Sus scrofa: one gene and its partner. The protein of the gene in region 1 purifies or fractionates together with the protein of each later gene. This does not show direct contact. Links are inferred from orthologs where the notes say so. Each region holds a gene or a part of one and is shown on either strand. Other genes may lie near its edges.

The links. Proteins that work in one complex are often made in the same cells at the same time.
Region 2: the proteins of RIPK1 (region 1) and CFLAR purify together in Homo sapiens (affinity purification with western blotting; 5 studies listed by BioGRID and IntAct, with this or other methods). This does not show direct contact. The link is inferred for Sus scrofa from reciprocal best matches to the Homo sapiens genes RIPK1 and CFLAR.

The regions. Positions count from the first base shown.
Region 1 is NC_010449.5:1,854,562-1,858,146, reverse strand, and holds part of RIPK1 (receptor-interacting serine/threonine-protein kinase 1), read right to left. Parts: intron 941-3,585; 5' UTR 874-940; coding exon 722-873; intron 1-721. UniProt on the Homo sapiens protein: Serine-threonine kinase which is a key regulator of TNF-mediated apoptosis, necroptosis and inflammatory pathways.
Region 2 is NC_010457.5:104,798,614-104,802,669, reverse strand, and holds the start of CFLAR (CASP8 and FADD-like apoptosis regulator), read right to left. Parts: upstream 2,860-4,056; 5' UTR 2,819-2,859; coding exon of another isoform or gene 2,753-2,818; coding exon 2,457-2,752; intron 1-2,456. UniProt on the Homo sapiens protein: Apoptosis regulator protein which may function as a crucial link between cell survival and cell death pathways in mammalian cells. Acts as an inhibitor of TNFRSF6 mediated apoptosis.

The DNA of each region.
Region 1 (3,585 bases):
GCACCGCAGCGGATGGGGCTCGGGTGCCATCCCAGATCCAGGATTTTGCACGCTGCAGGGCCAGCCGAAAAGAAAAAGGAAAAGAAAAAGAAAACAGGGAGTTCCCGTCATGGCGCAGTGGTTAACGAATTCGACTAGGAACCATGAGGTTGCGGGTTCAGTCCCTGCCCTTGCTCAGTGGGTGAAGGATCCGGCGTTGCCGTGAGCTGTGGTGAGGGTCGCAGATGCAGCTCGGATCCCACGTTGCTGTGGCTCTGGTGTAGGCCGGCAGCCGCAGCTCCGATTGGACCCCTAGCCTGGGAACCTCCATAAGCCGCAGGAGCGGCCCAAGAAATGGCAAAAAGACAAAAAAAAGAAAAAGAAAATGGCCTCTCCCACAAGCGCTCCGGGAAAGGAGAGGGAATCAACCCCCGCCGCCTTGGCGAGCGCCTTCCCGGGTGAGGGGCTGGGCCTCGCATCGCCCTGCAGCCAGCGAAGCACCAGCCGTCCAGCCCCTGCAGCCTGCTGCCATGGCGCCTCACTGCCCTGGACCCACCCTTGACCCCTTCCCGCCCCCGCTGCCCCGCTGCAGTTTGCTGCCGCTGGTTACCCGCTGTCAGCCCCCACCAGCCCCCCTGCATCCCCACTAGTGATCCAGGGACGCCACTAACGCCCAGCAGGTGACCTGACCCAAAACCTGTGCCCGCCCATGCCCTCCGCCCCGGCCCAAGGGGCCACTCACTCATTGCGCTTGGGGCCCGTGTACACCTTCTTCAGAATCACAAGCCCGTGGGATTTGTGAAAACACAAGGACACCTTTCCGAAGCCTCCGCTCTCCAGGTCCTCCTTCTCCAGAAAGTCAGAAGATTTCATCTTAATGTCATCCAGAGACATGTCTGCCTTCCTTCCAGCGCTCGGAAAGCCCCAAACACACAACTTCTCTCTTCCTCAGCGCTGCGCCCTGTGAAGACAATGAAAGGACACGTCAGTGCAAAAAAGTCATCATTCAAAAAAACACACCTAGTGTGCCTGCGTTTTCTGAGGACACACAGATGGACAGTCCCTGCGGGGAACTGTTTCCCGTATTTCCAAGAAGCACAGAAGACCCCAATCTTTAGTCCACAGACTTGCATTTCTGGCAAACTGAAGGACTAGAAATTTAAAACCCTCCTGCTTCAAACTACTTATCCTGGATCACGTAACATCAACACGCTCTCAAGTGAACAGAGAGGCTCAGCAGGAAGGCAAGGGACCCCAGGGACAGAGGACATGCAGGGCGGCAGGGGCCCACGTGACAGCCGAATGTTCCCCCAATTGCCACGCTGAAGCCCGGAGTGACAGGGATCAGAGGTGGGGCCTTGGGGAGGTGATGGGGCCATGACGAAGGCCTCAGGAATGAGTTAAGGGCCCTTCGAAGACACAGAGAGCATGCCTCCTCTCTCTGTCACTGTGTGGGCTCAGTGAGAGCCCGGCCATGTCTGTGAACCAGGGACAGGCCCTCACCTGACACTGGATCTGCTTGGACATCCAGCCCCCAGAACTGTGAGAGACAAATGTCTGTTGTTTAAGCCCCCTAGCCAGTGGTCATTTGTTACAGCAGACAAATAACTGAGACAGAAGCCCTATGGGGCACCCAAAGGTCAGGGTTTAACCACAGCCAGAGGCAGGAGCAGAGGTCAGGACATGCAAGAAAAGAGGACTGAGACAAAGACTCCCCCTAACACGGATTCCCATAAATTAAGCCTAATTTAACATGTGCTCCCTTGGAGCTCCCTGGTGGCTCAGTGGGATAAGGACCTGTCACTGCTGCAGCCTGGGTTACTGCTGTGGTGCAGGTTCCAACCCTGGTCTGGGAACTTCACATGCCACAGGCACAACCAAAACGAAAAACAGAAAACAAAAACCCATGACGAGTTTCCATTGTGGCTCAATGGTAACAAACTGACTAGTATCCATGAGGTTGTGAATTCGATCCCTGGCCTCACTCAGTGGTTTAAGGATCTGGCGTTGCCAGAAGCTGTGGTGTAGGTCACAGAAGAGGCTCGGATCCCACATTGCTATAATGGTGGTGGAGGCTGGCAGCTGCAGCTCTGATTCAACCCCGCCTGGGAACTTGTCTATGCCGCAGGTACAGCCCTAAGATTAAAAAACAAAACAAACAAAAAAACCATGAGCTCCCCTTCCAAAATTCTAAACCACCACCAAAAACAAAAATAGTCCATCATGGCCCAACTGCCAGCAGATACAACTGCCAGCACTATTCAGCACCAGAGCACTTCGGGTCATTAAACTATTGAATATCTTTAGAGATAAACAGGTTTAGAACAATTATGAGCACAAAAGGGAAGGTAATGGCTACAGCAGAGGAGCAGGTAGAGGGAGGACGCGGAAGGGGTGGGCTGGGGAGACTGAACACGGTGCTGGGGGCCGCCAAGCAGCATCTCCAGTTCTCACCCGCTTCATCCTTCGCCCTGCTGTTCCTCATCATTGTTTTCCCTGAACTGAAGTGGGGACTCGAAATCCATGGGGACCCACACGAACCCCACTACACAGACGATCTAGGATTAAAGGGCTGATGCCACCGGACGCTACAGGTGAAGACGAGAGGCAACGGGAATTCACACTCATTGCTGGTGGGAACATTGATGGGACAACCACTGGGAGAAAAGGTCCGGCACTTTCCCATGAAACTAGACCTACACCTGCGCCACGAGCAGGCAAGTCTGACCCCAAGAAAATGCAAACATGCGTCTCCAAGGACATCATGGGAAAAGAGGGGTGAACTTGGCTTGTTGTGAGGGAAGGACATTGAAAGCAACGCTCTCGGGAATATTCAGCAGCTGCCTTTCTCTGGAGGGGCCATTTTGGGAAAATCTGGCCCCACCCATCAGTCAGCCTGAGAAGCCCCAGGGCAAACAACAACCCAGGTGGGATCACAGCCCCACCGCTCAGGAAACAGGCTCCCTAAAGACCCCTCGGGCACACAGCCACCTCTAATCCCATCCAGAGACTAAGCCCCACCCTCCAGAGGGATTAGAATCAGCACCACCTACCAGGGGGCAGGCATCACATCACCCCTCCCATCAGGAAGCCTACAGCAAGCCCCCCATACTGACTTCAGCCACAAGGGGGGCAGACAGCAGAAGGAAGAGAGGCTACAGCTCTATTATCTGGAAAAAGGTCACCACACCAAAAACCAATAAAAATGAAAAGTCAGAGAACTATAACACAGATGAGGGAGAAAGGAAAAACCCCAGAAAATCAGCTAAGCCATGAGGAGATTCTCAGCCTCCAGGAAAAAGACTATTTAGACTGTCGATGCTGAAGATGATGCAAGACATTGGAAATAAACTGGAGGCAAAGATGGATAACTTACAGGAAACACTGAGCAAAGAGATACAAGATATAAAACTTAAACAAGAAGAGATGCAAAATACAAGAACGGAAATAAAAAATGCACTAGAAGCAGCCAACAGCAGAATTCAGGAGGCAGAAGAAAAAATAAGCGAGGTGGAGGACAGATGAGTGGAAATTACAGATGCAGAACAGATAAGAGAAAAAAGATTGAAAACAAATGAAGAGAGTCTCAGAGAACTCTGGGACAAC
Region 2 (4,056 bases), on another chromosome or scaffold:
CTTGGCTTCTCTGCTGAACAAGCTCCCAGGTCTAATCCAGTCAAAAGATTCTGAAGTAACACCTGGGTTATCCTGTCCCACTCCCGCCTCACAGGTAGAAGGCGCCTCGACCTCAGGGATTGTGACTGCAAATGCCTCTGTCTAGAGAGCCCCTCCTGACTTAGTCACCTCTGCTCCAATTGGAGTTAAGTCACACTTTATCGGGGCTCCCAAGGATACAATTGTTATTCATTACCTTGACATTGTCAGTGTGGCTTAGAAGCCCATTCTCCCAATTCAACTCTCAGATTCTTTTTTTACATTACATTTATTTTTTTATTAGGGCATCATTGATTTACAGCATTGAGTTGATGTCTGCTATACAGCATGGTGACCCAGTTATACATACATATATTCTTTTTCTCATATTATTCTCCATCATGGTCTATCCCAAAAGATTGGATCTAGTTCCCTGGGCTATAGAGCAGCACTTCATTGTTTATGCATCCTAAATGTGATAGTTTGCATCTATCCACCCCAAACTCCCCATCCATCCCACTCCCTTTCCCCCGCCCCCTGAGCAACATCAAGTCTGTTTTCTATGTCTGTCCAAACTCTCAGATTCTTTTTTTTTTTTTTAAGAGAGTCTCATTTTATTTATTTATTCATTTATTTGTCTTTTTTTTTTAAGGGCTGCACTCATGGCATGTGGAGGTTTCCAGGCTAGGAGTCCAATCAGAGCTACAGCTACTGGCCTATGCCACAGCCAGAGCAACACCAGATCCGAGCTGCATCTGCAACCCACACTACAGCTCATGGCAACGCCAGATCCTTAACCCACTGAGCAAGGCCAGGGATCGAACCTGCAACTGCATGGTTCCTAGTCAGATTTGTTTCCACTGTGCCACGATGGGAACTCCCCAGACTCTCAGATTCTTGAGGATGAAGATTCTTTGTTCATTTTACTCTTACCTGTGGCCTATGTCAACCCACAAAACAGCCCACTCATCAGATGAATAGGTGAATCTAGCACCCCCCGCCCCGCCACTCTGCTCAAAAGCCCTGAGGAACCGCCTCCATTCACCAGAGCAAGAAACAGAAAAGAGTTTATTCACAAAAACCCAGTCAGCAGCTTCCAAAAATTTTTCAGCAGATTACTGACATCATATGATGCCAGGAGAAGTGGAAGTGGATCAAGAGAAACAGCAACAACAACAATAAACCCTTGCATCTGTAGCATGCTTCCTGCTTTTAAAAAGTACTTCACATGCTAAATTATCACAGTTGAGCCTCACAGCCATACTTGTGAAATCAGCTATTATTATTCTTTGCTTTAGGAGTAGGAAAATGAAGGCCCAACCGATGGCAGTGGCTGGCTCAGCCTCAATGCCTTGTAACAGATGGTTCTGAGGCTTCAAACAGGCCTTTGGACCTCAAGCCTCAGACACGTCCCAAGGCCCACAGTGCTTTCAACTCGCTTTCATATAGTTTTTAATCATGCATGTCATCTCCAAATACATATTTTTAAAAAAAATTTTTTTAATTTTTTGGCCACCCCGCAGCATACAGAGTTCCAGGGTCAGGGATCAGATTTGAGCCACAGCTGTGGCAATGCTGGACCCCTTAACATACTGTGCCGGGCTGGGGATCGAACCTGCATCCTGGCACTGCAGAGTTGTCACCGATCCTGTTTCACCACAGCGGTAATTCAACATACACATGATTGATATAACTAAAGGCTGGTGAGAAAGGAATCACTAATTTAAGGTTACAAATTCTCTTTCTTTCCCACAGTGGCTTCTGTGCTCCTCTGAACCACCAAGAGCCTGCTGTGTGAACAGAAGGAAGGAACAGCTCAAGGGGACTCCAGCAGCCGTTCCTCTCTGGACTGAAGGGAACCTAGAGGTGGCTGATTGAGGGTATGTTCAATCTGGGGTCCCCAGCACCTGCATGAACAGGAACCTTACAGAAACGCACAGAAAGTGAGCCAACCCCACTAACTTCCTCAGCAGGGGAAAGACTGACCCATGGGGACTCAGGAGGGTTAACAAAGCTTTACAAAGGTCAGGAAGATTACTGTCAGACTTGTTATTTCCTTTCTCGGTGGGGAAATTGCCAGGCGCTGACATCACAGAAAATCAAGCTAGCAAAGAACACAGCAGATCTCGCAATCAGAAGCCATTTTAAGAGAACTAGCTCTTAGTCATTCCTTTCTCTCACCCCACTCTTCGGGCAAACCCATCCATCCAGCCCTTCTCCTTTCATTCAGTTGATTCTACCCAAGTACTTTAAGCAAACACGTCCCAAAAGTTCAAGGAGTTCAGAGGAATGAAGCAGCAGCAACACGGCAGTAGGAGCAGTGGGTTGAGAAAGGAATGCGGCTGCTGTTCCCCACTGTCCTCATTTCTATGATGCTCAAGTCCAGACCTCCTCCCTCCCTCCCACCAGTCCAGTCTCGGGAAGGGCTGAGGAATTACCTATAGTCTGAAATAAGATGAGGGTGCCTGAGCAGCTGGGCCTCCACTGTCCGTCTGTCCATCTTCAAGATCCTCTTGAGCAAGTCAAACCGCCTGACTCTGTAGAGCAGCTCAGCCAGGCTCACAAGAGACAGCTTTCCCCTCTCTCTTAAAATATCCAGAAGGTCCCTGACATTAAGTGGAACCACATCTGCAGCAATGTCTCGGCACAAAAAAAGAAGTATCTCCTTCTCATCTTCATCAAGTGCTTCTTCCACCTGATGGATGACCTCAGCCGACATTCTGTACAGTGTCATTCCAAGGAACGGCAGTAAGAGAAATCTAGTCCAGTCAACAGAAGCCCACGAGGGTACTGACTTCATTTCTGATGGTTTTCTTCATTTCTTTCAGAATCCTTTCCAATGGAGGAGTTCTGTGGTTAAAAGGGAATTTTTTTTTTTAAAAAAAAATCCTCCTATCAAAGTCACTAAAATTCCAGGTATAGGCCTTTCCTTTTCTTGTTGGTCTCCCTAATCTAGCAGGTTAAATTTCATACTGTTAAATCTATAGAAAGCGATCCTCTCAGTAGACAAAGCAACTGACCCCCAAACCAGAAGGGACGAAGAAGATAACACTATTTTTAAAGGAAATGAAACTAGCGACAAATCACCTCCCCAAAAATCCCACGTACTTTAACAGAATTTATTGAACACAAACTATGGTAAGGGGGAAATCACAGCTAGGGACTTAATGACTAAGTGGCAAATGGATGACCTTGGTGGAGGGCAGAGAAAAAGCCCAATGACTAAGCAGCTAACTGGATGAGAGAAGCTGAGATCACAGATAACTTCCCTTCCCTGACCCCCAAGTAGGCTTAAACAAATACGAATCTTAGCAAAGGGACCCCAGCAGGGCTTCAAAAAATGGTGGGAGAAAAGAGGTTTCTGTACCTACCCCACCCCATTTTTCCAGTTGTTCGACTTTGAAACCCCACATTCACACCTGCTGCCATCCTCCCAAAGTCCCCAGCCCTTTCCACAGCATCATCATGAATGCTCCTAGGACCTGCCACCACAGCTAAATGGGTCTTGTTAAGTTTGGATCACCTCTTCTGACCCTTGGAAGGGTCAGAAGCCCCCACTTACGTTACACTGCCGGACAACAATTATCACTAGAGTTCCTAACAGTGTAAATGGAAGGAAGGAGGTGAAGCCGAAGAGCTGGAGAAAGATCTGGGAACTGGGTGGGAGCAGTAGGGAATTCATGTCATGGGGTGAACTTCTCAACCTCTTCCATTGGAACACAATCTATTTTCTTTCAAAATTGGTTGTAAATGGTGGTCCCTGTCTAAAGTTTCATAGCTACATTTTATGGTAAATAATCTCTTATGTTCTGGGAGAGTACCTTGTCTGTTTCTACCACAGAAGCTTTCAGGTTAAAAGCTAATCTGAACAAAAAAATAATTGGAAACAGAACCCAGCTGTAAGTTAGCAACTTTCTGCTAACTGCTGCTACATATTTGTGTACAAGTATATTTATATATGTATCTAGCTAGATTTGGTGAAAGGAACACTGAAATCTATTTATTTTTGTACACAGTCTCAATTCACAAAAGATGAGG